Linked DNA regions of Callithrix jacchus. The protein of the gene in region 1 interacts with the protein of each later gene in a pairwise test. Links are inferred from orthologs where the notes say so. Each region holds a gene or a part of one and is shown in the gene's direction. Other genes may lie near its edges.

Evidence for each region.
Region 2: the proteins of TFIP11 (region 1) and CCHCR1 interact in binary tests that used the Homo sapiens proteins (3 or more experiments, as listed by UniProt). The link is inferred for Callithrix jacchus from reciprocal best matches to the Homo sapiens genes TFIP11 and CCHCR1.
Region 3: the proteins of TFIP11 (region 1) and RHNO1 interact in binary tests that used the Homo sapiens proteins (3 or more experiments, as listed by UniProt). The two-hybrid records come from large-scale screens. The link is inferred for Callithrix jacchus from reciprocal best matches to the Homo sapiens genes TFIP11 and RHNO1.
Region 4: the proteins of TFIP11 (region 1) and NFU1 interact in binary tests that used the Homo sapiens proteins (3 or more experiments, as listed by UniProt). The two-hybrid records come from large-scale screens. The link is inferred for Callithrix jacchus from reciprocal best matches to the Homo sapiens genes TFIP11 and NFU1.
Region 5: the proteins of TFIP11 (region 1) and THAP8 interact in binary tests that used the Homo sapiens proteins (3 or more experiments, as listed by UniProt). The two-hybrid records come from large-scale screens. The link is inferred for Callithrix jacchus from reciprocal best matches to the Homo sapiens genes TFIP11 and THAP8.
Region 6: the proteins of TFIP11 (region 1) and LATS1 interact in a two-hybrid assay, tested with the Homo sapiens proteins (2 studies listed by BioGRID and IntAct). The two-hybrid records come from large-scale screens. The link is inferred for Callithrix jacchus from reciprocal best matches to the Homo sapiens genes TFIP11 and LATS1.
Region 7: the proteins of TFIP11 (region 1) and ZC2HC1C interact in binary tests that used the Homo sapiens proteins (3 or more experiments, as listed by UniProt). The link is inferred for Callithrix jacchus from reciprocal best matches to the Homo sapiens genes TFIP11 and ZC2HC1C.

Annotation. Positions count from the first base shown.
Region 1 is NC_133502.1:197,239,508-197,243,643, reverse strand, and holds the start of TFIP11 (tuftelin-interacting protein 11), read left to right. Parts: upstream 1-1,336; 5' UTR 1,337-1,417; intron 1,418-1,506; exon of another isoform or gene 1,507-1,533; 5' UTR 1,534-1,688; intron 1,689-3,615; 5' UTR 3,616-3,624; coding exon 3,625-3,833; intron 3,834-4,136. UniProt on the Homo sapiens protein: Involved in pre-mRNA splicing, specifically in spliceosome disassembly during late-stage splicing events. Intron turnover seems to proceed through reactions in two lariat-intron associated complexes termed Intron Large (IL) and Intron Small (IS).
Region 2 is NC_133505.1:35,978,647-35,982,906, reverse strand, and holds the start of CCHCR1 (coiled-coil alpha-helical rod protein 1), read left to right. Parts: upstream 1-1,460; 5' UTR 1,461-1,711; coding exon of another isoform or gene 1,712-1,723; 5' UTR 1,724-2,029; coding exon 2,030-2,269; intron 2,270-2,490; exon of another isoform or gene 2,491-2,556; coding exon 2,557-2,623; intron 2,624-2,701; coding exon 2,702-2,915; intron 2,916-4,193; coding exon of another isoform or gene 4,194-4,260. Other genes in the region: TCF19 (transcription factor 19), read right to left, coding at 1-202. UniProt on the Homo sapiens protein: May be a regulator of keratinocyte proliferation or differentiation.
Region 3 is NC_133510.1:16,205,240-16,208,739, forward strand, and holds part of RHNO1 (RAD9, HUS1, RAD1-interacting nuclear orphan protein 1), read left to right. Parts: intron 1-1,948; 5' UTR 1,949-2,032; coding exon 2,033-2,200; intron 2,201-3,500. UniProt on the Homo sapiens protein: Involved in microhomology-mediated end-joining (MMEJ) DNA repair by promoting recruitment of polymerase theta (POLQ) to DNA damage sites during mitosis.
Region 4 is NC_133515.1:44,443,632-44,447,654, forward strand, and holds the start of NFU1 (NFU1 iron-sulfur cluster scaffold homolog, mitochondrial), read left to right. Parts: upstream 1-1,223; 5' UTR 1,224-1,236; coding exon of another isoform or gene 1,237-1,298; exon of another isoform or gene 1,299-1,443; intron 1,444-1,706; 5' UTR 1,707-1,730; coding exon 1,731-1,906; intron 1,907-4,023. UniProt on the Homo sapiens protein: Iron-sulfur cluster scaffold protein which can assemble [4Fe-4S] clusters and deliver them to target proteins.
Region 5 is NC_133523.1:32,202,383-32,206,486, reverse strand, and holds the start of THAP8 (THAP domain-containing protein 8), read left to right. Parts: upstream 1-1,304; 5' UTR 1,305-1,486; coding exon 1,487-1,569; intron 1,570-4,104. Other genes in the region: WDR62 (WD repeat-containing protein 62), read right to left, coding at 577-753.
Region 6 is NC_133505.1:156,481,968-156,485,467, reverse strand, and holds part of LATS1 (serine/threonine-protein kinase LATS1), read left to right. Parts: intron 1-157; 5' UTR 158-297; coding exon 298-642; intron 643-831; exon of another isoform or gene 832-929; intron 930-3,500. UniProt on the Homo sapiens protein: Negative regulator of YAP1 in the Hippo signaling pathway that plays a pivotal role in organ size control and tumor suppression by restricting proliferation and promoting apoptosis.
Region 7 is NC_133509.1:109,990,105-109,992,821, forward strand, and holds the end of ZC2HC1C (zinc finger C2HC domain-containing protein 1C), read left to right. Parts: intron 1-1,230; coding exon 1,231-1,494; 3' UTR 1,495-2,217; downstream 2,218-2,717.

The DNA of each region.
Region 1 (4,136 bases):
ATAGCAACAGAAAAGCCAAGCTTATGTACATTTTTGGCTTTTGGGCTACAAACAGATGTATATACATTCAGGCACAGACTAAAAACACTTTTTTCCCCTTGTTTCCCTCACTTCGCTCCTGGTGGGCCTTGTAGTCTGTTAGACCCTCTCTCCCAGGCTTCAATGCTAAAACTACATTTTCTATTTCTTTCCAGAGTACATACTATGTGTCAGGCACAATTACTCTACATGTCACTAGGAATACTAGATCATTAAGACACAGTCACCATTGCTAAGAAACCCACATTTAACTGGGTACACAAAAATTGTTTAATTCTTAACAACCATTTGATGGTAGATGTAAGTATTTGACTCCAAGTCCCATGCTCTTTTTACATTCCAACAATTGTCTCTTGGATCTTTTCATCACATAGAGCAGAGAGAAAAATAAGCAAAAATTAATAGCTGACTCTTTCTCAGCACCTACTGTGTGCCAGGCACAGTTTTTGTGGCCTACAGTTTTATCTTATTGAATCCTTAGCCATTTTGCAGAAGAGAAAACTCACTTACGTGTTTTCTTAGACTTGCCCAAGGTCCACAGCTGCTAAATTGCAGAGTCAAGTTTGGAACTCCAGAGCCTGTGTATAGTTAAATGTCTACACAGAGCCCAGGGATAGTGAGGGCTTCCCAGGGAGGGCCCAGGAGTATTCTGCTCACTATATCTCCTTGGCCTAGCACAGGTGAGGGGCACTCAGTATATTTTAATTAAATCAGTGAATAAATGAATGAATTTACAAACCTGCTGGAAATGAGAATGGAAACGTCTCCTGGAGAGAATACTTGGGAACTCTAGAGTTTGCCCATTATTCCTTCATTCCCTCTTAAACTCCTGCATAAAGGACACTGCCCTGTGCCCAAGACGGTGCTTATGAGACAGAGCCAAAGATACAAGAGACACAGTTTTGATCTTCATTATACCCAATTGAATGCTGTGTCCCAGGCACCCTATCATCTCACAGTATGTACCACAACTACCCTATGGGCTAATCCTACATCTCTATTTTACAGATTTACAATCTCAGAGTGGCAAAGTCTCCTTAGGCCAAGATGGCTCAGCGGATTCCACACCAGTCATCACAGGCTGAGCGTCGCAGTGCGAAGCAGGCGCAGCAGGGAGGCCCACTTCACGGGGAAACCACGCCCCAGCCATCATTTTGGTCCTTGCAAATCCACCCCTCCTTTCTAAGATCCCAGCCCGCCATTCTACAGGCAAATCTGCCGCAGCGTTCCATCCTGCCCTTGCAGCCAGCGCGACATCCGCTGTCGACAACGTCATTTCCGGCGCGCCGACTCCGGCGCATCCGGGGTCTGGCGTAGGAGAGACTGCCTTCTTCCGTGGACTGTGAAGTTGAGTTTGGTACGCTGGAGCCTCGGAGAGGTGAGTAGGGCTTGCCACGAGGGGACTCAGGGGCAGTGGGAGTAGGGCTCCGGCTCAGGGAAGGCGAGCCTCGGCCCAAGCCGATGTAGGGGTGGGGAGGGGATTCCATTTCGCAGACAGCTCTGTCGAGGCACGGAGAAGGGCGGTGCTGGTTGGGGTCAGTCAAGAACCTGAGCCTCCTTCGCCAAACCTAGACAGCAAGAGAGAGACAAGCCCGAGGCCTGGCTTCTAGCGCTCCTGAGTTTGAGCCCTATAAGCAGTGGAACCTAGGGTAAGTTACTAACTTCTCTGAACCTCCCTTTTCTTACCTGAAGCATGAAAATTAATGGTAACTGCCTTGTAAAAGTGTCTTGATGCACACAGTTGATAATAGGGCTCAAGCGACCATCATGTACCTAGCTTCTACTGATGAGGACTTCATAATTTGTGGCTACTCAGGGCTTATCACCACTCCCTGTGTCCACGGAGACATTGGTATTATTTAACCTTATATATCTGAGATTCCCCACCTCTTCTGAGACCCTTTCCTTTGTATACATTCCTGGAAGAGGTTGGGACCAGCTGCACCCAACCAGGGCACCAGTGACTAGAAGGCAAGGATAACGTTTTGCCAGAGTTGACCAGAGTTTGACACTGGCCTGTGGAAGTAGGGAATTCCTTATGCCTTAAGGCCGCTTTCAGGAAGACCAGAATCACAATTGCTGTCACCTATTGAATGTATTATTGTGTAGTGCACCAGGCTTGGCACTTCGTGTGCATTTAATACTCATACACTGAGTATCTGGTAGAGTTGAATTTGAAGTTAGGCTTTGATTTTAGCATGCCTGATTTTGCAATCACTTTAAGTTTACTCCCTAGTCCAATAATAGTAATGATTGTGATGTTTGATACTGTCAAGTTGATTGGATTGAAGGATATGAAGTATTGATCCTGGGGTGTGTCTGTGGGGGTGTAGCCAAAGGAGATTAACATTTGAGTCAGTAGTTTGGGAAAAGCAGACCCACGCTTAATCGTGCGGGCATAATCTAATCAGCTGCTAGCACAGCTAGAATATAAGCAGGCAGAAAAATGTAAAGAGGCCTAGCCTCCCAGCCTTCATCTTTCTCCGGTGCTGGATGGTTCCTGCCCTGGAACATCAGACTTCCAGTTCTTCAGTTTTGGAACTCCGGCTGGCTCTCCTTGCTCCTCAGCCAACAGACAGCCTTTTGTAGGACCTTGATGGTGTGAGTTTATCCTTAATACACTCCCATATATATATATTATATATATATGGGAGTTTATGGAGTTTATATATGGAATATATATATGGGAATTAAGAGGGACAGAACTAATGGAATATATATAACTATATATATGGAACAGAATATATAATATTCCATATACATATTCCTATATATATATACATATATATTCCATTAGTTCACTCCCTCTAGAGAACCCTGACTAATACAATGATTAACCTAATCATGGGACTACAGTAGAAGCTATGGTTTCTTGAGCACTTATTTTGAACTCATTGAATTCACCTTATAAGCATTCTCTAAGGTGGGTATAGTAGTTTATCCCAATTTAAGAAAGACAACTGAATCTCATCCCCCAGCTACCATGAGGTAGATTCTTTATTTCAATCCCTGGATATCTGACTATTAAAATAGTGTTCATAATTACTACAGTTTTTTAGCTCATCAGAAGAAATACATGTCTTGCAATGAAAACTAAAAATTATGTTTCATCAAGTAGTGTATTTTAAAAAGCATATTCTAAAAAAGTCACTCTCCTGGACCACCAAGGATCCAGATATAATTCTTACCTCAGTAATAGAAAAAGTAAAGGAATCTGGGATCTAAGAAGATATCCACTCATTTTCTAAAGCAATACTGTATAAAATAACCTACTTAGATATTTTTGTGTGGTTTATGTATGTGTGAATGTGTGTGATATTTGTGATATTGACTAGGACAAGGAAATACATACTTTTAAAGAAACATAGACTGTTGGGACTGGTATTTTTTTCCCGTTTTAGTACTGATTGTTTTCTAAAAATATGTTTTTAATATCTACTTTATTGAACAGTAATGCCAATTTTAATGGACTTTAAATTTGGAGAAAGTTCTGAAGGCAGCAAGGAATAGAGGAATCCTCCTGCTGCTGCCCCCAGGACTTATTATGGACTGTGCCCTTTTTATCTCTTCCTTTAGTGACTGGCCATGTCACTGTCCCACTTGTACCGGGATGGGGAAGACCGCATTGATGATGATGATGATGAACGGGAGAACTTTGAGATCACTGATTGGGATCTCCAGAATGAGTTCAACCCCAACCGACAGCGCCACTGGCAGACCAAGGAAGAAGCCACCTATGGGGTGTGGGCAGAGCGAGACTCAGATGAGGAGAGGCCCAGCTTTGGAGGCAAACGGTATTGCCTGGCATGGGGGCTGCTTCACCTTGCTTTAGGGAAGAGGAGAAAGATGGACAGGGAGTGGAGGGGATCCCCTGATAAGTATACTTCTCACCTGGCCTTATTGAGACTGTTAGTTGTGACATCACCTCAAGAGGTCCAGTTTCCTCTTTAGGCTAGAGTGCTGTTCTTTTACCAAATTATTTTATTTTATTTGTTTTTTTTTGAGATGCAGTTTTACTCTGTCACTCGAGCTGGAGTGCAGTGACGTGATCTTGGCTCGCTGCAACCTCTGCCTCCGGAGTTCAAGTGATTCTTGCA
Region 2 (4,260 bases), on another chromosome or scaffold:
CATCACCCCGGGGCTCGGCATGCAGTTCGGCATGGATGCCAGAGATGAGGCCAGGCTCCTGCTGGGGCCGCAGAGCCACATCACACAGGTCGGCCCTGTGGCCCAAGCGGTAGGTGCAGCCAGCCCCGGCTGGGGGGTGAAAGGTGTAGAGATCCCCGCCCCTGCCGCCCCCTATGCGCAGCAGTTGGAAGCAGGGCAGCATGGGCGGTGCCCACTCTGCACCACCCTTTCCACTTCAGGCATCCATTTCCTTTCCCACTCCTGGGCCACGCACCACTGGCTTAAGTTTGCTTCCCAGTCTGATGCAAACTTGAGTTGTGCTGTGTCCAGTTTCAACTTTGAGCACACTACCTAAGTAGTCCAAATTCAGACTGCAAGCAGTCTAGGACTCAATGCAAAATTTGTTGTGAAGCTGACTTGCTACTGAGAGATTCCAGAAAAGTCTCCATACAATGCAAACTCAGGAACGCATCCTATGGCACCTCACTTGAGCTGGATCCTCAGGTCACAAAATATTTGGAGAACCTCCAATCTGCAAGGCAAGGATATTTTAGGCAGCTCGTTTGTGTGTCGGGGTGGCAGGGCGGGGAGGTCTTGTTACACAAACAGTCTACGTGCAATACGAACACATCACCTCTCTGTAATTTGGAGAAGAGCAGCTTCTTCCTATCAAACTTGCTTATCCTAACAGAGCATTCCTGCTGGCCTGCGCCCCGATCTTCTGGCCAATCCCTCACTCATAACTAGTTTGAACCCCCGAGGGCAATGAATCCACTGTCATCCTCCAAAAGGAATTCCAAACAAGTCCTTAAGTTCTCCAACAAATTGGACCTAAACCCCTGCTTCCCGGCTTCTCTAGGTGGGATTTAAAAAGGAAGGCGCTCCCGCGATCATGCATGGCATACCCGGCCTTTTCCCTCGGCCTCAGCCGCGTTTCGGATCTCCTCTTGCAGTCTCCGAGTGGCCTCCTCTTCAAGCAGTGCCAGCCTGTGCGGCTGCCCCAGGACCCCTTGGGCTCCTCCGCGGGAGCCAACACTTCCGCAGCTGTTTGACAGCCAAGAAGCCGGGGCCTGGAGGGGCGCGGCCTTGGGGCGCAGGCAGCCTACCCCTCCTTCGGAATTCCCGGGCCCGAACTTCGCGCCGAGTGAGCCCGCCCCTGTGCCGTTTCTGATTGGCCAGATTATTTGTTCTCTTCTGCGCCATTGGACGGTGACCCAAGCTCCCCTGACTTCCGCTTTTTCTGATTAGTTCACAAGTTTTCCCGGGTTCCCGCAGTGGGGAGGAGCCGCCTGGGCGCGGAGACTCTCAGACGCATTGAGCCCAGCTTTCGACGCCATTGCGCCTGCGTGGACCTTTCCTGTCCTCTGAGTGAAATGGGGGCTTCAGAGCGCCCGTCTTGCGCAGGCGCGGTCGGGGCCGAGGCGGGGCCGGGAGCGAGGCGGAGGGGGTGTGGCCAAAGCGCAGTAGGGTGCTCTCGCGGTGGGTAAGGGACGTTCGGGAAGAGTCGGTTAGGGGCGGGAAGGGTCTGAGAGAGGGTGCTGGGAGGGTGTAAGGGGTCCAAAGGGGAAGGGGGCACAGGGGTCCGGTGAAGGGACAGATGAGGAGATCAGAACAGCCTTAGAGCTCAGGGGCCAACAGGGTGAAGCCTCGGGTATCTGAGGGAACGGTGCGGGGAGAGCAGAGCCGGCTAGCGTGCCGGGGATATTGAGAGATGGGGGTGAGGGTGAGGACCAGAATAATTCCTTCAGAAAAAAGTAGATTAGGATGTAAAAAGGGACAGGAGTAGGAATTCCAGATTCGGGTAACAAATAGATGAATGAGGGTGGGAGGAAGATCTTAAAGTACCCGCTGTGTTAGGACTCTAGAAGGAGGGTTTGGGCGGCGGGCATGGAAGCTGAGGGAATAGTAGAGAGAAGCTAAGAGGACAGCTCCAGGAAAGATTTGGATGAGATGTCAGGAAACTGGCTTTTCTGCTTGGGGATCTAGGCTGCCTGGATTCCCAAGGTCCTGGGGAGGGGTCTAACCCTGCATGTGGCCACATTCAACTGGGGCCAGGCCTTGGGCCAGCGCTTTAATAGGGAAGGACCCAAGAGTCATGGCCTGGTGGTGTCTGGATGGGCTTCCCCCAGGCCTTGCTGAGCCATGGAGAGAATTGTGGAGATGGCGCTCAAGACCCCTGCACTGTGTACCTCCTTTCTCACCTTTGGCTAGGAGCAGCAGGGACCATAGAAACTTAAGGAGGATAAAGGCATTGCCCAGAATCCTGAAAGTATGAGTAAAGCCTCAGAGCCCCTCTCATTCTCTCTTTCAGTAAATTCTCTCCACTGTGTAGTTAGTTGCCTGAGTTCTATCAGGAACCAGGTTGAGACAAGCAAGTGAATTTGGGGTATCTCCTACTTCTTTGGGGAAGTAGGAAAAGAGCTGAGCATTGGGTGTAATTCAAGGATTACACCTGGCTGTAATTCTAGGATTATAACTTTGTTATTGTAGGGGATTTCTCTTTGGAAGGTGGCCTGAAAATTGAATTGGAGTGTCCATGTTTCTCCTATTGTCCAGGGGAATATAGATCGCTGGAGACAGAATCTAGAGCCTTCAAATAATGTGAAGATGTTTCCACCTTCAGGTCAGTGGGACCAGGCAAGGGGAGTGGTGGTTGCCTCTGCCTGGGAAACTAACCATCTTTGCTTTTGTAATTCCTCAGGTTCCACTGGGCTAATTCCCCCCTCCCACTTTCAAGCTCGGCCCCTTTCAACTCTACCAAAAATGGCTCCCACCTGGCTCGCAGACATTCCCCTGGTCCAACCCCCAGGCCATCAAGATGCCTCAGAGAGGCAGACAGACACCCAAAGACCTCAAGTGACGATGTGGGAATGGGATGTTTCCAGTGACAGACAGGAGCCAGGGCGGAGAAGCAGGTAAGGATCCATCCTTGCCATTTTCTCAGGCTTGCTTGCTGGTGAGCCTTCCTCACTGGAATATCTTATCCTGTTTTGGCCCGTGTTTCCATAACTTATTCATTTTTATGTAAGCAATTATTAGTTCCTACAGTGCATAAACAATAAAGCAATGTGCTAGGTGCTAGGGATGGGGATGACAATAGTGAATAAGACAAACTTGACTTAAATTTGTAATTAATAAGGAACCTAAAACCCTAAGAGGGGAGATAAATTGACCACCAGCTGATTGTAAAGCATAGCATGAGGCAAGATGAAGAAGCGCAAACTGGAAGTAGAGATCCAGCACTGTGGCAGTGTGGGTTGATTCTGATGGAAGAAAGCCTTTGCAGAGGACATGCTATGGGAGCTGGCCATGCTGTCCGTCATACTGTCTGTAAACATTCTTATTCTTGCTTCATGTGCCTTTTCCCAGATGTACTAGGATATCATTCTGCCATTTTGCTGCAGAGTAGGATTACAATAGAAGTGGCAGCATGATTAAGAAAGGAATACACCGGGCGCGGTGGCTCACGCCTGTAATCCCAGCACTTTGGGAGGCCAAGGTGGGTGGATCACAAGGTCAACAGATCGAGACCATCCTGGTCAACATGGTGAAACCCCGTCTCTACTAAAAATACAAAAAATTAGCTGGGCATGGTGGCGAGTGCCTGTAATCCCAGCTACTCAGGAGGCTGAGGCAGGAGAATTGCCTGAACCCAGGAGGCGGAGGTTGCAGTGAGCTGAGATCACGCCATTGCACTCCAGCCTGGGTAACAAGAGCAAAACTCTGTCTCAGAAAAAAAAAAAAAAAAAGAAGGAATACTAGACTGGGTGTCAGGAGACAGAGACTGTTTCTAGTTTGGCTACCAGCTAGAGGACATCTGGCAAGTCAATTTACCTAGACTACAGATCCCTGCTACTTTTTAAAAAAAAAGAAGAAAGAAAGAAAAAGCCAGGTATGGCAGCTCACACCTATAATCCTAACACTAGCACTTTGGGAACTGGGGCAGGAGGATCCCTTGAGCCCAGGAGTTCAAGACCAGCCTGGGCAACAAAGCGAGACTCCATCTCCACAGAAAATAATTAGCTGGCTGTGGTTACATGCATTTGTAGTCCCAGCTACTTGGGAGGCTAAGGTGGTAGGACTGCTTGAGCTCAGGAGTTAAAAGAGGCAGTGACTTACGATCTAGCCATTGCACTGAAGCCTGGGTGACAGTGATGCCCTTTCTCTAAAAACAACAATCTGCTGTGGTCCAGGGTCTCAGAGAAAGAGCTGCGTCAGGAGCCATGTTCCAAACTGGATTAAACTTTCCGTGACATTGGT
Region 3 (3,500 bases), on another chromosome or scaffold:
CAGGAATTCAAGACTAGCCTGGGCAACACGACAAAACCCTATCTCTACAAAAAATACAAAATTAGCCAGTGTTGTGGCACAGTCCCAGCTACTTGGGAGGCTGAAGTGGAACGATCACCTGAGCCTGGGAGCTCAAAGCTATAGTGAGCTGTGATTGTGCCACCGTATTCCAGCCTATGTGACAGATGAGACCCAGTCTCAAAAAAAAAAAAAAAAAAAAAAAAAAATTTATTCCCTGACTGGCTGGGTATTTGATAATGTTAAGGAGTTTATGTTTTTATTTAGTCGTATTCATGGGAATGATAGAACTTTTTTTTTTTTTTTTTTTTTTGAGATGGAGTTTCGCTCTTCTTGCCCATGCTGGAGTGCAATGGCGCAATCTTGGCTCACCGCAAGCTTTGCCTCCTGGGTTTGAGTGATTCTCTTGCCTCAGCCTCCTGAGTAGGCATGCTCCACCATGCCTGGCTAATTTTGTATTTTTAATAGAGATGGGGTTTCTCCACGTTGGTCAGTCTGGTCTCGAACTCCCAACCTGTGGTGATCTGCCTTCCTCGCCTTCCAAAGTGCTAGGATTACAGGCATGAGACACTGTGCCCGGCCAATAGAACATATTTTCTTCGACATAATGCGGGGGTAGAAGCAGTGGCTAGGGGTATAGATGAGTCAGGATTAGCCTGGTTGATAGTTTTTGGAGCTGGATGTTTGGTACACAGGGCCCATTATTATATTATTCAGTCTACTTCAGTGTGTATTTGATGTTATGTAGAGTGAAAAATTTTTTAAAAAGCCGGGTGGGATCAAATTGTTCTGCTTGAAAATCTGCCATGACTACTCAGGATAAAGTCCAAACTCATATGGTGTCATCTGTTTTTGTTTGTTTGTTTGTTTGTTTTTGGAGATAGAGTCTTGCTTTGTTGCCCAGGCTAGAGTGCAGTGGGGCGAACTTGGCTCACTGCAACTTCCACCTCGCAGGTTCAAGCGATTCACCTGCCTCAGCCTCCTGAGTAGCTGGGATTAGAGGCGAGCACCACCACACTTGGCTAATCCTTTTTGTTTTGTTTCGTTTTTTTCAGACAGAGTCTCACTCTGTTGCCCAGGTTGGAGTGCAGTTGTGTGATCTCAGCTTATTGCAACCTCTGCCTCCTGGGTTCAGGTGATCCTCAGCTTCCTGAGTAGCTGGGACCTTAGGCATGCACCACCACGGCCAGCTAATTTTTGTATTTTTGATAGAGATGAGGTTTCATCATGTTGGCCAGGCTGGTTTCAAACTCCTGACCTCAGGTAATCTGCCTGCCTCTGCCTCCCATAGTGCTGGGGTTACAGCTGTGAGCCACCACACTTGGCCATGTCATCTGTTTTTTTCACCTCACCCTGACACCATGTTTATCCTCAGTTCTTGCCATTTATCTTTTCATACTCTATCCAGATACATTGAGTTTGTAATTCCCAGAATTCACAATACTCCTTCTTGTCTCTGTGCCTTTGTGTACGCTCTTCCTCCGGTTGGAGTGTCCTTGCTTTTTTGTTTCTTCTAGGCCTTCCATACCTAGGTTAGGTATCTCCCTTTCCAGAAAGCTTCCTTTGGAATGAATGGAACCATATTGTATTCTCCCATTGTGTTGTGAATGTCCATTTCCCTTTGTTAGACTTTCAGCTCCTTGAAACAGGGATGAGCTCTGTATCACTACAAGTGTTTGGCACTCAGTAAATGATTGTTTAATAAATGGTTATTCATCTTTTAATTCCCAGCACCTAGCATGACATTTAGTGCATACTCAATAAATGTTTGTTAGATGAATGTTGAATATGAATACTGTGTTTTGATTGGTGGCATAGACTTTAGGAGGCAGTGCTCCCCACAACCTTGAGATTTACAGTAGAATTGGCGGGCAGAGGATCAGGAAAATCTAGGGAATATTTGTTCCCAGCGTTTGTTTCTTCTCTACAGGCATGGGTTGGAATTGGAGCCTATCTCCCATCCCGAAGGCTATCAGCATCATGTGGTTACTAACTGTTCCTCATTCACCGGTTGATGCCTCCCAGAAAAAAACGCCGCCAGCCTTCCCAGAAAGCCCAGCTGCTGTTCCACCAACAACCACTGGAGGGCCCCAAACACCGCTATGCATCTACACAGCTTCCCATCACTCACACTCGACAGGTGCCCAGCAAGCCCATTGACCACAGCACCATCACTTCCTGGGTAGGGCCATGGGATTATTACTTCGACTTTTACTGTTAGGTTTTCCAGAATGCTGACTCGCACAGCACCATCACTTCCTGGGTAGGGCCATGGGATTATTACTTCCACTTTTACTGTTAGGTTTTCCAGAATGCTGACTCTTCTGCCCCTAGAACCAGGGCCTCCAAAGAATAAGATTCTTGGGGGCAGGGGCAGGGAGTTAATGTATTCTTTCTGTCTGTGGCCAACCATGTTCTCTGGTACATTGTCTTTTCTCCGTTCAAACTGAGGAATGGATTAGTTGGAACTGGAGTCTTTCTCTCTCCCTATTTTCATCTGAAAGAGTTCAGTGTAAAAGTTTTTTTACAGGCCGGGCGCGGTCGCTCACGGCTATAATCCCAGCACTTCGGGAGGCCGAGGTGGGTGGATCACGAGGTCAAGAGATCGAGACCATCCTGGTCAACAAGGTGAAACCCTGTCTCTACTAGAAATACAAAAATTAGCTGGGCATGGTGGTGCGCGCCTATAGTCCCAGCTACTCGGGAGGCTGAGGAAGGAGAATTGCTTGAACCCAGGAGACGGAGGTTGCGGTGAGCTGAGATTGTGCCATTGCACTCCAGTCTGGGTAACAAGAGCGAAACTCTGTCTCAAAAAAAAAAAAAAAAAAAGGTTTTTTTACTTATTATTAGCTGGATGAGAAAGCCAGATAAATGGCAGAACAAGTAAGAAATGAGATTATTTCCTAAACTTCATGTGACAGGTGGAGTATTTAGGTAGATAATCTGTTTATTGTTTAATGGATTGAACCTTGAACAATAAAAACCCCATAAGAATAGCATATATTATATTTTGACCACTTAAAAGCCCTGGGAAGAGAGGCTGGTTGTGGTGGCTCATGCCTGTAATCCCAGCACTTTAGGAGGCCAAGGCAGGAGGACTGCTTGAGCCTAGGAGTTTGAGACCAGCTTGGGCAATATGTAGAGTGAAACCCCATCTCTACTAAAAATAATATAAAAATTAGCTGGGCGTGGTGGTGCACACCTGTAGTCCTAGCTACTTGAGGGCAGATCACTTGAGCCCAGGAGGCCAAGGCTGTAGTGAGCTGAGATTGTGTCACTGCACTCCAGCCTGGGTGACAGAGTGAGACCCTGGGAAGAGAATATAGCTAGTATACAACAAGGAAGTAGTATAGCAAAAGGGCCAGACAAAAGCATAAGCTTGGCTTAGGAATATTTAATAAATATAACTTATTCAGGACTGCTTGGAAGAACCATAGTACCTGCTACAGGATTGTGAAAGAAACCTAAACATCAGAATTTTG
Region 4 (4,023 bases), on another chromosome or scaffold:
CGAGGTGAGTGGATCACCTGAGATCAGGAGTTTGAAACCACCCTGACCAACAAAGTGAAACCCCATTTCTAAAAATAAAATAAAAACATTACTAGGCAGGGCAAGGTAACCTAAGAGCTTTTGGAGGCCTAGGTGAGAGGGATCACTTGAGGCCAGCAGTTCAAGAGCAGCCCAGGCAACATAGGGAGACCTCTTCTCTATAAAAATACGACTACTACTAATAATAATAAAAATAGCCAGGCACGGTGGCTCACACTTGTAATCCCAGCGCTTTGGGAAGCTGAAGCTGGAGGATGAATCACTTGAGCCCAGGAGTTGGTTTTGGTGAGCTATGATTGCACTCCTGCTCTCCAGCGTGGGCGACAAATAGATCCCGTCTCTAGAAAAAACAAACGAACAAAAAAAACCAAGTAACAAAAACATTTCTAGTCCCCACCTATAGAGATTCTGCTAAGACTAAAGTGGGGCCCAGGACTTCTAACATGTTCTAACGTGCATTTCTACCGTGTTCTCCTGGCGTTTTTGGCCTCTAGTCCGCACTTTGAGAACCGTTGTTCTAGAGAAAACTGAATTTCCCAGAAAGGTTCTGGAAGAATAGGTAATGGGCTTTGGAACTCTGCTCTGGAAACTAGTCAACGCCCATGTTAATCCAGAAAAGGGCAGCACTGTACCAGCACGTCCTCTGTGCTGGTTGGTCCAAGACGACCGAGTAGCGGGCGACAAGCACAGCCTATGAAGAAGGGTTAGAAACACATCTACATCAGACCCATGGGGAAGAGAAACGCGAGAACCTTTGAGAGGGGATGCTGCGGGGAGTCTTTAGGGGCAGTCACTGAGCTGGGCCTGGAGACTGAGTAGGGTCCTACATGGGGGAATGGGTCAGGTTTAGGGACGAGGAACAGCATTCGAAACCGCAGGACCAGCACCAGTTGAAAAACCTAGCTAGCAGTGAAAGCAAAGTACGGAAACAGCCTGCGTTCAGGGTGCTATGTGAATTAACCAGGGCGCCTGCGCAAACGGCAAAGAGTTTTCCCCCCGCCCCCGCGCCTCTCTCGGTCAGACTGTCGCAGCAGCCCGCAAACCTCCAAGCGCAGGCCGCCGCACTTATCCGCAGCAGCGCCACCCGCAGCCGGTGGGGTGCGCTCTTCCAAGTGGCCGCCCAGCTCCCTGCCAGCCTGCGCCTGCGCAGATCTTTAATGGTTCTGTCGGGGACACCCCTGGGCACTCCGGATTAAGATGGCGGCGGCTGCCAGGCGGGGCTGGGGAGCTGCGGCTGTTGCCGCGGGGCTGCGCAGGCGGTAGGTGACGAGCCTGGAGCTCCGAAAAGGGGTGCGGCTGGGCTTAGCCAGCGGAGCGGTCGCCACCTTGCAGACCCTTTCTTGAGGCGGGTGGGTAGTGCATCTGATGGAGCCGGCGGGTCCGCAGTTCGGGGTGAGCCCTGAGGTGTGTGGCTGTAGGTGCAGAAGCTCGGAGCTTTTGTGGCCTAATCCGGGCTGACTCTGTGGAGCTTTGTGTCGGGCTCAGAGACCCGGTGCTTGAGTCTCTGTAGAGACTGGCTATGGAGCCAGAACGGAGGAGCTGTTTTTAAATCATGTGCCTCTCTGCCCCCAGGCCCTTTGCCAGGTGCATGTCCTCTTTTAAACACAGAATCAAACTGTCACGCAGAAGGGAAGAAAATACCTTGTCTCGTTTCTTCATTTTCCCAGTAAGGCCCTGAAAGAGGAAGTGACATGTCCACGATCACACAGTTTCTAAGTGATGGAACTCCGAAGAGAATTAAGACCCCTAGATGCCCTGCACGCACCACCATTAAGCCCACTCCGTTCCCTTGCTTTTCTTCCCTGAGCCGTACCTTTGAGTTTCACCTTCCAAAGACTTCTCGGAACATTGCTAAGAGGACATTTATGTAGGTGTACCTTGATTTTACTTCTGGAGAAAAAGCCTACAGAGAATTTGCCCTCGAGTAACAGACATTTTAGTGTTAATGATGTATTGAGGTTTAAATGTATATCCTAAAAAGATTTAAGTTGGTAGAAGGATTTTTTGTTAGTTACCTACTGTGTTTGAGTAGACGTCGTCCTTGAATAATGTAATCCACTCTTAACTTAAAAACAAGACTTTAAACCCATATGTCGGAATGTGCTGCTGCTTTGTTCATTCTGCTGCCTTTTCCCTGGGCTGAAGGGACGAGAATATTATTCTTCCAGTGTATTTCCAAATTCCAGTGCATCTGCAGATTCAGGTAGTGAGCTATAGAAAAAGGTATTTTTACCCCAAACCTTGGACTTCACTCGTTTAATTAGAAATTTTGGGGCACCAATTACATAAAATGGTAGCAGCTGCCATTTATTGAGCACTTACTGCATGGCCTGGCACTGGTTTAAGCACTTTACATGGATTTTTGGATTCTTTATGAGGTAGCTGTGAAATTAATTTTGTTGTGAGATGAAGAACTGAGGCCATTGTGCTAGCAGCTAGAAATGAAGACAGTTTCTCCATTTGAGTATGCAGTCTAGCAAGAAAGATATATTAACAAGTCGTAAGTGCTGTAATAGATTCATATAATTTAAAGTGGTGACAGCTCTTACCGGGATCAATACTGTTTGGAGCTAGTGTGGGGAACGGCAGTCAGGACTTCACAGATTATTTGAGTCCCATTCAGTGTTGACTCCGTTGTTCTCTTGAATCCTCAGTGCCAATCCTTTTATCTCTCCAATAGCATCTAAGAAACTGTGGGTTACAGTCCTACAGTATCCTAGTAAAGTAGCTTTGCTTATCAATGGCATATCAGGATTACTGAAGGTAGGAAACAGTTAATCTGTATTCTGTTAATCCTTAATTTGTGCCCACTCATTCTTTTCCACAAGCAGAATTCCAGTTTTGTGAGAGAAAAAAGTGACAGCCATCGTCTGTTGCTTCTTGTCTATTTTAAGCAGAAAATAATTAGATAAATCTTTTTTTTTTTAAGTGATCTTGTGTATGATCACAATTTTTGCCTTTGCAAAAAATTTTAACAGAAAATTGTGACAGTGAAAGACTGTTCTAACCAACCACCATTTTGTCTTTAACCTCTAGACTGCCCATTCCTGGGCTTGGCCAAGCCAACTTTGGGAGACATTTATAGTTCAAATGATAATAGCCCTTCCCCCAAATTAAACCACCTTTATAAAGCTAATGAAAGACCACCAGGTTTGGAGGTTGAGAGGAGCCTGAATTCTACTAAGGTATAGATGTAAATGATTGCCTGCCATTATTCTGGAGGTCATAAGAGTTGCAACTTCCCCAATTACTCCTTCAGACAACACTCTTGTGGAACCTAAGATTAGCCTTTTCAGGTTTTTGCATTTCTCACTGGTCTACCCACAAACAGACTAAGCACTCAGGAGGACCATTTTCCACACCCCAATGATTGCATCCTCAACCAATCAACAGCACCCATTCCCTGGCCTGTCAATCTATCCTTGAAAATCCCTCACCTCAGATTCAGAGAGACTATTTGAGTACTAAAACTCCAGTCTCCCTTTCTGCTGGTCCCGTGTGAATTGAACTCTTCATTGCAATTCCCTTGTCTTAATGAATTAGTAGTATCTGGACAGTGGACAAAATGAACCTATTGGCAATTATAAATGACTCCTGTGCTTAAAATTTTTCCATGGCTCCTATGAAGTGGCAATTGTAATGGATAGCAATGATATTTTCAAGTAAACTGGATTTTAAAGTAAATTGCATTAGGATTCTAAGAATTTTCACTATTAAAGTCTCCTTTTACTTCTTTTTCTAGTACTATTTGCTTTTCTTCCTTTGTTTTCAGTTTGTCAAAGCCATCAAAAATAGCCAATTAAGTTTTCTCTGTAAGAGTGAAGTAAAGTTACTATACTGGGTTAATATGTTTCCATCCAAAAAACATATAAAAGGCAGGGCATGGTGGATCACACCTAGAATCCCAGTGCTTTGGGAGGCCAAAGTGGGAGGATTGCTTGAGCCCAGGAGCTGGAGATCAGTCTGAACAACATAGTGAAAACC
Region 5 (4,104 bases), on another chromosome or scaffold:
CTCCCTAGGCAGCACTGCAGAGATTTTACAAGTAACTTCTCACGTCTTTTTCATAGTTTTGAGTGGCAATATGGAATCCAACCTTGGAGAGGAAAAGGGATAGAGTCCGCAGAAGGTGAGAAAAGGCGGCATAGACGAGAGGAAGAGTTGGGGCGGGTAATACTCTAGACTGAACCCAGGAAGTGACCTTAATGACCCAGCGGGGGCCAGGGCAGTGAGGCTGGAGAGCGCTATGATCGTGACGTCTAAAGGCGATCAAACGGGCGTTAAAGTATAGCTGTGATTTGCAAAAGCAAAATGCATTCCTAGGGGTGGGAACCAGGGAGGAACCCAGGAATTGCCCCAACACAAGAGGGTGGAGCCGGCAATACAGCGAGGAGAGGGAAAGTGGGAGGGACCGTGGCTGAAGTGACCGGGCTTAGGGGACGAGGCGGGGCTTAGGAGAAGAGGCGCGGCAGGGAGCAACCTGAGCGAACTGGCGGCGGGGCTGATAGTCGGGGCCACAGTTCTCAGGGCGAAACTAGGAGAGACCCAGGAAACCTGAAACTGGGGGAGGCATGGCGAGCAGCTACTCACCCGGTTCTGCACCGTCTCCTCGGGGGCCGTCGAGAATCGCGTCCGCCGCCGGAGGCAGAGCGGTGGGGCGGGGGGCGGGGAGGACTGGCCCCTCCGCGCCGGAACTCCTGCCATGACAGAGGGCAGCTTCTCCCCCGCATCGTTCCGCGCATAGCTTCCGGACCCTACGGCCGCCATCGTCGCGCCGGAGCCGGGCGACCGTTACCTCCACTAACCGTCGCCGCCTCCACGACTCACTGGAACAGCAAACAACCGCGGGAAAGCCGGCGCCGCCGCCTATTGGACGCGACGGGCCCGGTCTGGCCAATCTCAGGGCTGTCGGGCGGTGCTTAGGCCCAATGGGGACGAAGAAGCGGAGCGAGTGCCTGGCGGGGCGGGGCCACAGCTAGTGTACAGGATGGGCCTGATCAAGCGTCGGGGGGGTCTTTTATCCAGACTGCGTTTTCATTATTCGCTGGAACATATAGGTTTTAACTTTTACGAGGCTAAGGCCACAGCCGCCTCACCTCGATTTTTGCCGCCACCCAGAGGAAGTATGTGCGCTCTGACGGTCTCCCGGATGTAAGCAAAGGGCGGGGCAAGTTGATTTGGTTGGCGCAAGCTCAGAAACGCCGTGAGGCCGCCTCTCCACCAACACGTGATGAAGGTCGGGTTGGCGAAGGGCCGGTTTTGCGCAGACGCACAGTACTCGCTTTGGCTCATTCGCCAAGTGATGAGGGCGTGGCTGTGGAACTGTGGAGGGGGCACCTAGTAGACCAGGCGCTCCCAGCTCTCCCGGGTACGTGACGAGACTCCAGGGACGTCACGTGAGGCAGGAGGCAAGCGCGCGGGCGAGGCAGGGTTCGGCGGCGCTCGGCGAAAACCAAAGTGCAGCCGCTGACCTGGCAAAACTCAGCGGGGCTGGGCAGCCATGCCCAAGTACTGCAGAGCGCCGAACTGCTCCAACACTGCGGGACGCCTGGGCGCGGATAACCGCCCTGTGAGCTTCTACAAGTGAGCGCAACACGGGGCGGGGCTTGGGGGAGGCGGGGCCTTGGGAGGGGCGGGGCCCGAGCTTTAGCGCTGTTGTGCGGGGCTTTAGGTCTAGCTCGAGGCGGGTTCAACCGTGAGGAGACTGCATACCCACAGTGGACACTGCACATGCAAAGAAGCAGGCGTGGGAAACAACAGGAGTACACAATTAACTACAGGTAGCGAACTGAGCGAACCGAAGAGATGTCCAGTCGCCCTCACCACGCATTTGAGCCATCTGAAACTAATAACATCCGAAACTGAGCTTGCGATCTTGTCTCCCCCAAAACCTTCCAGTTTGTCCCATCTTTGTACGTACTTCATTCTTGTTGCTTAGGCTAAAAAATATAGTCATCCTTACCTCTTCTCTTTCGTCATACTTGGGAAAGTCAGAATTAGCTTGGACTGTAAAAGATCTGTCCTCTTGTTTCTCAGCTGACATAAGCCAACTGGTGGAAGAATTACTAGGAAAAAAATTTCTTTCCTTTTTATTCTTTTTCTTTTCTTTTTTTTTTTTTGAGACGGAGTTTCGCTCTTGTTACCCAGGCTGGAATGCAATGGCTCGATCTCGGCTCACCGCCACCTCTGCCTCCTGGGTTCAGACAATTCTCCTGCCTCAGCCTCCTTAGTAGCTGGGATTACAGGCACGCGCCACCATGTCCAGCTAATTTTTTGTATTTTTAGTAGAGACGGGGTTTCACCATGTTGACCAGGATGGTCTCGATCTCTTGACCTCGTGATCCACCTGCCTCGGCTTCCCAAAGTGCGGGGATTACAGGCTTGAGCCACCGCGCCCGGCCTCCTTTTTTTTCCTTTTCTTTTTTTGAGACAGGATCGCTCTGTCGCCCCGTCTGGAATGCAGTGGCATGAACACAGCTCACTGCAACCTCGGTCTCCGGGCTCAAGTGATCCTCCCACCTCATCCTACCAAGCAGCTGGGACCAAGGCACGCGCCACCAGGCCTGGATAATTTTGGAAAAAAAAAATTTTTTTGGCCGGACGCGGTAGCTCAGGCCTGTTATCCCAGCACTTTGGGAGGCCGAAGTGGGTGGATCACCCGAGGTCAGGAGTTTGAGACCAGTCTGGCAACATGTGAAACCCGGTCTCTACTAAAAATATCAAAATTAGCTGGGCCTGGTGGCTTACACCTGTAATTCCAGATACTCAAGAGGTAGGAGAATCACTTGAACCCAGGAGGCAGAGGTTGTAGTGAACCGAGATCTTGCCACTGCACTCCAGTGTGAATGACAAAAGCAAGACTCTGTCTCAAAAAAAAAAAAAATTTTTTTTTTAAAAGAGAGAGATAAGATTGCCCTATGTTGCCCAGTCTAGTCTCAAAATCCTAGGCTCAAGTGATCCTCCTGCTTCAGCCTCCCAAAGTGCTTGGATTACAGGCGTGAGCCACTGCACCCAGCCAAGAAAAAATATTTTTCTTGGACATACTGCAGATGTAAAGTGGCAGAACTCCCATCCTTTGAGTGACTACTGCTTTCTTAGTAGAAAACGGTTGTCTAAAGTCAGAGATGATCACACACTTTGCTCTTTGAAACTACATCAAGTAAGAATGAAACAGCTCATTTTTGCCTGGAGGAGCTAAGTCACTTTGACACAGAAAAGCAGTTCCTATTTGCAATCCAGGTTTGGAGCTTCAGATAAGGAAACATTCTACATCGATGTAAACTTTATTGCTTCTGAGAAGACAGAACACTGGGCCCACATCACCATCCAGACCTGATATTGATCCCTTTACGCACAGTTCTGATTTGCTTTGAGCCAATCTGAACACTGCTTCATTTACATTTCACCTTAAAAATCACTGTTTATTGTGGTACATGGTGGGTCACGCCTGTAATCCCAGCACTTTGGGAGGCCGAGGCAGGTGGATCACGAGGTCAAGAGATCGAGACCATCCTGGTCAACATCGTGAAAAATACAAAATACTCTACTAAAAATACAAAAAATTAGCTGGGCATGGTGGTGCGTGCCTGTAATCCCAGCTACTCAGGAGGCTGAGGGAGGAGAATTGCCTGAACCCAGGAGGCGGAGGTTGCGGTGAGCCGAGATCACGCCATTGCATTCCAGCCTGGGTAACAAGCGAAACTCCGTCTCAAAAAAAAAAAAAAAAAAAAAAACTGTTGAGACTCCCTCTTCAAACAAAGGCCCATTAGGGCCTATGGCAGCGGTCCCCAACCCTATGGCACCAGCGGCTGGTTTTGTGGAAGGCACTTTTTCTACGGATGGGGTGGGGTTGGGGGAATGGTTTTGGGATGAAACTCTTCAGATCATCAGGCATTAGATTCTCATAAGAAGCAGGCAACCTACATCACTCACATGCCCAGTTCCAAATAGGGTTCACACTGCTGTGAGAATCTAATGCTGCTACTGCTCTGACAGGAGGCAGAACTCAGGTGGTAATGTGAGTAAGCCCCTGCTGAATGCAAAGAACCCTGACATATCTTGTCTTTGCCGTCACAGAGCTCATGGATAGGTGAGGGGTCAAACACTGAGGAACTGAAT
Region 6 (3,500 bases), on another chromosome or scaffold:
AGGCATGGAGAGATAAGTAACTTGTTCTGATCCCGGAGTAATCCTTAATGGAGTCAGAACTATAACCTGAGTCTCTTAACCCCTGTGTCAATGGACTTTTCCTCTAAAATGCTTTATTAATCACTTTATAGCTTTTCTTTCTTTCTTTTTTTTATAGAGTTAATTATTTATATTATAAAGAATTTTAATAGTCCTGGGGACTTCCTTGAAGGATCATTTTCATTTTTGCTCAGAAGAAAGCTCTGGATCTATCAAATAAAGAAGTCTTTCGTGTGGGCTACATATATAGATGTTTTCATGAAGAGGAGTGAAAAGCCAGAAGGATATAGACAAATGAGGCCTAAGACCTTTCCTGCCAGTAACTATACTGGCAGTAGCCGACAAATGTTAAAAGAAATTCGGGAATCCCTTAGGAATTTATCTAAACCATCAGATGCTACTAAGGCTGAGCATAACATGAGTAAAATGTCAACTGAAGATCCTCGACAAGTCAGAAATCCACCCAAATTTGGGACACATCATAAAGTCTTGCAGGAAATTCGAAATTCTCTGCTTCCATTTGCAAATGAAACAAATTCTCGTAGTACTTCAGAAGTTAATCCACAAATGCTTCAAGACTTACAAGCTGCTGGATTTGATGAGGTAAGAACTTTTAAAGACAATGGATTCTTCTTACCTTATGCTACATAACATTTTTGGGGTGAAAAGATGCCAAAATGTTTCCCTTAAGAGAATTTATCCGTGTATACAAATTTGCATATTCTATCAGCAAAGAATGTTATGTTTACAATTCCATTAATTATTATAACAAAATAATTGTTATTTCCTTAGTTTCTTCTGTGATATGTATCACTAAATTCTGGAGTTTCTGGAATTTAAAAGGCCAGGTCATGAAGTCAGAATGGAAGTGCAGTTGAAGAAAGCCACAGGTGAGGGTAGGGGAAAGACATCTGTTTGTGTGAAATACAATGGTGAACTAAGTGTCTGTTGGGGAAATGATAGTTCTGAGAACATGAAATTTAACTTCATAGTAGGGAGAAAGAATTATATAGTTATGGGTTTGTGTAGTAAGCAGTTGTGTTCTCAGGCCCAAATCTTAAATTTACAAAAACTAACAAAATTTCACTTCAGGCTAACTATGCCAAGTCTTTAATATTTATCTTCAGAATTCATTTTGAAATTTTTTCATAATCCGTATATTTAATGATTTTGTTTAGATTATCAGTGAAATTTGTTTCTTACGATAACATACCTTGTGAGCATGAATATTTTAGGTGTCAGGAGCCATTTTAGATAAATATTGGCAATGTAAAATGTAACTAAATGTGAATAATCAAAAGTTAGGCCGGGCGCAGTAGCTCACACCTATAATCCCAGCCCTTTGGGAGGCTGAGGAGGGCGGATCACCTGAGGTCAGAAGTTTGAGATCACTCTGACCAACATGGTGAAACCCCATCTCTACTAAAAATACAAAATTTGCCCGGCATGGTGGTGCATGCTTGTAATCCTACCTACTTGGGAGGCTGAGGCAGGAGAAGCACTCTGCCTCCAAGAAGCAGAGGTTGCAGTGAGCTGAGATCACGCCATTGCACTTCAGCCTGGGCAACAAGAGGGACACTCCATCTCAAAAAAAGAGTTAATTACATTTTTCACAATTATAGTAACATGTTTTCCTGATTGCAAAAAATATTACCTATTCTCTCTTAGCAATTGAAAAGTATAAAGAAGAAACTGAAAATTACATTTAGCCTCACTGTATAAAGATAACTACCCTTAAAATTCCTTCACTGTTTTTTTCATGGGTTTTGTGTGTGTGTGTGTGTGTGTGTGTGTGTGTGTGTGTGTGTGTATGACCGAATTTCCATATATTTCTGTATTTAATTTAAAAAGTGAAAACCTGACCGGGCTTGGTGGCTCACGCCTGTAATCCCAGCACTTTGAGAGGCCAGGGTGGGCAGATCATGAGGTCAAGAGGTCAAGAACATCCTGGCCAACATGGTGAAACCCCATCTCTACTAAAAATACAAAAATTAGCTGGGCGTGGTAGCACATGCCTGTGATCCCAACTACTTGGGAGGCTGAGGCGGAAGAATCACTTGAACCCAGGAGGTGGAGGTTGCAGTGAGCCGAGATTGCGCCACTATACTCCAGCCTGGCAACAGAGCAAGACTCAGTCTCAAAAAAAAAAGAAAAAAAGTAAGAACCTAAGTATGCATTATAGCAAAAGATTTTAAAAGGGAGATTTACAACTAAACTATAAGGGAAAGAAAATTCTTTCTGGCACATTCTATTTATCTATTTGATTACTATTATTTTCTATCATTTTTATACTTCAGTGTTCTAAAAATACTGGATTTAAACCAGGAAATAGAGGAAGAGGAGGGAAAGACATGGGATAATGTTTTTCTGGTTAGTATTTAGAAGATTAAAGAAATGGCTTGAGTGGAGATTGTCCCAAGCACTTTCTTCCTAATCCCCTAGCCAAAAGGCAAAGAATAATTATTGATCTTATTTTTTCCCTTTTCATTTGCTAAGCAAAGAGAAGTTATGAAATCACATAGCTATAAAAGCCCCTAGTGGTAATGTGTTAGGTCAGGTAAGTCACCCAGTAATACGTACTTAGGGAGCTCTTACTATGTGTGCACCTCACCCATCGGTCAGAATAGCAAATTGTACCAGATGTGGCTCATACCTTTAAGGTAATTAAAAGTTTTCTTCTCCCCTCCCCTCCCCTCCCCTTCCTTTCCCTTCCCTTCCCTTCGCGAGACAGAGTCTTGCTCTGTTTGTTGTCCAGGCTGCAGTGCAGTGGCATGACCTTGGCTTACTGTAATCTCTACCTCCCAGCTTCAAGCGATTCTCCTGCCTCAGCCTTCCAAGTAGCTGGGACTGCAGGTGTGCACCCCCATGCCCAGCTAATTTTTGTATTTTTAGTAGAGATGAGTTTCACCATGTTGCCCAGGATGGCCTCGGTCTCTTGACCTTGTGATCCACCTGCCTTGACCTCCCAAAGTGCTGGGATTACAGGTGTGAGCCACCACACCTGGCCTTAAAGTTCTTTCTAATAAAGACAGTTTTAAGAAATCTAAGGCATTGGTCAATGCTCTAGTCCTTATTGGTCATAATAACAATAATTGGTTTGTATTACAAAGATATGTTTGTGCTTTTTTTTTTTTATTAAAGTTCTACACAAATAATGTGTTAGCTTTATTATAATTACACATTTCAAATTGTCACGAGATTGCTTTAAGAAAGTATTTAGACATCATTCCTCATTTGTCCAAATAATGAAGTATGGTGTTATTTATACCAACGGTGATATAAAGAATCTGGCAGTCTGCTTGTACTTTCTTGAATTACTCATTCTGGTAGCATCCCATGATATTATAGAGTTTATCTTGTTCAAGATCTTAACTTGGTATTTCAGAATTGTTATCTAGTTTTCAATTCATTCTTTTTTATCATTTCGGAAACCTTAACCTACTCCTTTTATTAGCTGTGCC
Region 7 (2,717 bases), on another chromosome or scaffold:
TATTTATTTTGAAATTCTGAAACTTTACAATAATTGTGCTGGATACTTGGTAAGCCATTTCAATCTCAAGATGTGTGACCGTTAATTCTAGGAATGTTAATTGTATTATGTCTTTAATAATTTTCTCCTCATGCTTTCTCTGTTCCTTTTGGAACTCTTACTGGTCACATGTTGGACTTCCAGGATTAACTTTCTAATTTTCCAATCTTATCTTTTCACTTTCCATCCTCATCTTTTTTCCCATTCTGAGAAATTTTTGACAACATTTCTATTTGATTTTTATTTTTAGCTATCAAAGTTTAAATTTATAGTTTAATAGTTCTTTCTGGTTCTCTGGTTGTCCTTTTTTCACAGTATACGCTTCTTGTTTTACGGACACAACCTCTTCTAATACTCATTTTGTTGATACGATTTCATGTTAAAAAAAAGTTTTCTTCCTCTATCTGCCTTGTTGCTGCTTCCTGCGTTTTTTGTTTGTTGACTTTTTGGGCCCTTTTTCTTGTTAGAGCTTTAGCAAATATTTGATGATTCCTGGCTGTCCTTTCATATTTAATCTTAAGTGGGGCTTGTTGACTAAGGACCTTCATATTAAGGTTACTAAATAGCCTTTTAATTAGGGTTCTCCAAGGTATCTGAGGGCTTTTCTCTAGACTGCTCCATGTATCCAAAGAACCCCTCTTTTTCCTAAGAGGATGCCAATATGCTTGATACTCTGGGGGCTGAGCAGGAGAAGGGGGCTGACATTTCCATAATTTGGTATGTACACTTCTACTTAATCCCCATTTTCAGTCCCCAGATTAACCCCCAAGTTTCACTTGTCTGGATTTCCTGAGTCGGAAATTTGTCTGGTTCAATTTCTCCAGAGAATAAATCCTTGTTCTTCTCTAAGTGTGCTTGGGTGTTGGACACTTGGATGTGCAAGGTGGGAGGAGCTGTGGGGTCCTGCCTGTTTTCAGTCCTGTACCTCCTTACTTTGCACCATCTGGTACTTCCAAGCACTGAACTTCTCTGGAGTTCTGCTGGGAAAGCAGCTTGCCTCTCAGCAGTACGCTCTTTGCAGGCCCTTCGTTTGCCTCAACTCTGGCAAGTCAGTTACCACTATTGCTCCTTTCCTGTTCTCTTTGATCTTGCAGATTAGTACCCTTTTCATTTTCTTACTGTTATTCTAATGGAGACTCAGTAAGGAGACAAGTGCCAAGTTGAAAGATCAGTATCCCTTTTACATTACAGGCTGAACCTCCTCGGAAGAGCAACTGGAGACAGAAGCACGAATATTTTATCCGTACCCTCCGCCAGGCTCGAGAGGTCCAGCAGGTAATTGCCAAAGGTGGAAACCCTTCAGACTTGCCTCCCATCCTGCCTTCAGAAAACCCAGACTACATTCAGTGTCCTCACTATAGCCGCCACTTTGCTCCCAAGGTGGCTGAGCAACACATTCCCAAGTGTAAGACCATCAAGAACCGCCCTCCACCTCCAAGGAAGCATTACAGTTGAGCAGATGACAGTGGAAACTTTTGGATAGTTCAGAAAGCTCTGCTTTTCTTTAGGAGTAAATGGGAGTAGAATTTGATACAAAGCAGAAAGAAACGAAACAGCTCCCAGATCTGCCTGCAAAGCTAAAATCTGAGGAGAGAGCCACTGCTAAGCAGCAGGAGGCAGAAGGAAGCCCCAGCTTCCCACTAAATTACAACCTCAGCTGGTATGCTTTATGTTATCGCACTCAGAATTGATGGGTGAAGACACTGAAGAGTTGGGAACAGGCTCCATTAAAGTTCTCTTCTTGCATGCCTGACTTGTGGTTTGTGCTAGTGAAGTGCCTGCATCTGGTTGTGCCTTCTTGTCACTGCATGTATGTCCATAGTTCCTGTTAACTCTTGCTTTTATAGAAGTTGGAGATATTAGGATGTGTTGGTGTCAGAGGGGCATGATGACCGAGATGGTAACTCATTTATAAAAGACAATACAATTTTCCTGTAAGACATTATTAATGAAAATCTATCCTTGGTCTCTCTGGTGCATGATCCTGGCCAAAAACCAATACAAGTATGTGAGGTTAAGGCACCAGTGTCTCCTAACCTTCCCTGTGGTGTACTGTGTAATAAAGGAAAGATCTTTATGTACTTCACAGGGTGGGGATGGGTGTTGCGGGGGGCAGATATTATACTTCTCTCTACTTGTTCTTTTCTAATGCGTTTCATATGTTAAAAAAGAAAGAAACCTCCATTTTAGTTGTTACTAGCACTCTACTTTCAAATTGGTTGGGCTAAATGACTGTTTAGAGGCAGCAAAATCTACCATAAAAGTGAGCTGAGACAGGCTGGGCATGGTGGCTCATTCCTATAATCCTAGCACTTTTGGAGGCTGAAGTGGGAGGACTGCTTGAGGCCAGGAGTTTAAGAGCAGCCTTGACAACAAAGCAAGACCCCATCTCAAAACAAAACAAAGCTGGGACATTGCACAGTGTCACATGCCCTTGCAAATTGTAGCACAGTCAACTTCTATTTCAGAGCATAAACTTTGAAGGGAAAGGGATCAAATCTTTTTAATTTTCTCTGTGTAGCTATTGCCTAGCACAAGTTAGACCCTCAATTAATGAGATCTGGAGATTTAAAATTAAACAAAAAGAAGACTAGTGAAATGAGAGAACTGATAAGTTAATGTCTGTGAGAGTATTATCGATTCAGATAGGAGTGAAGTTAGCACAACAGATAGAAATC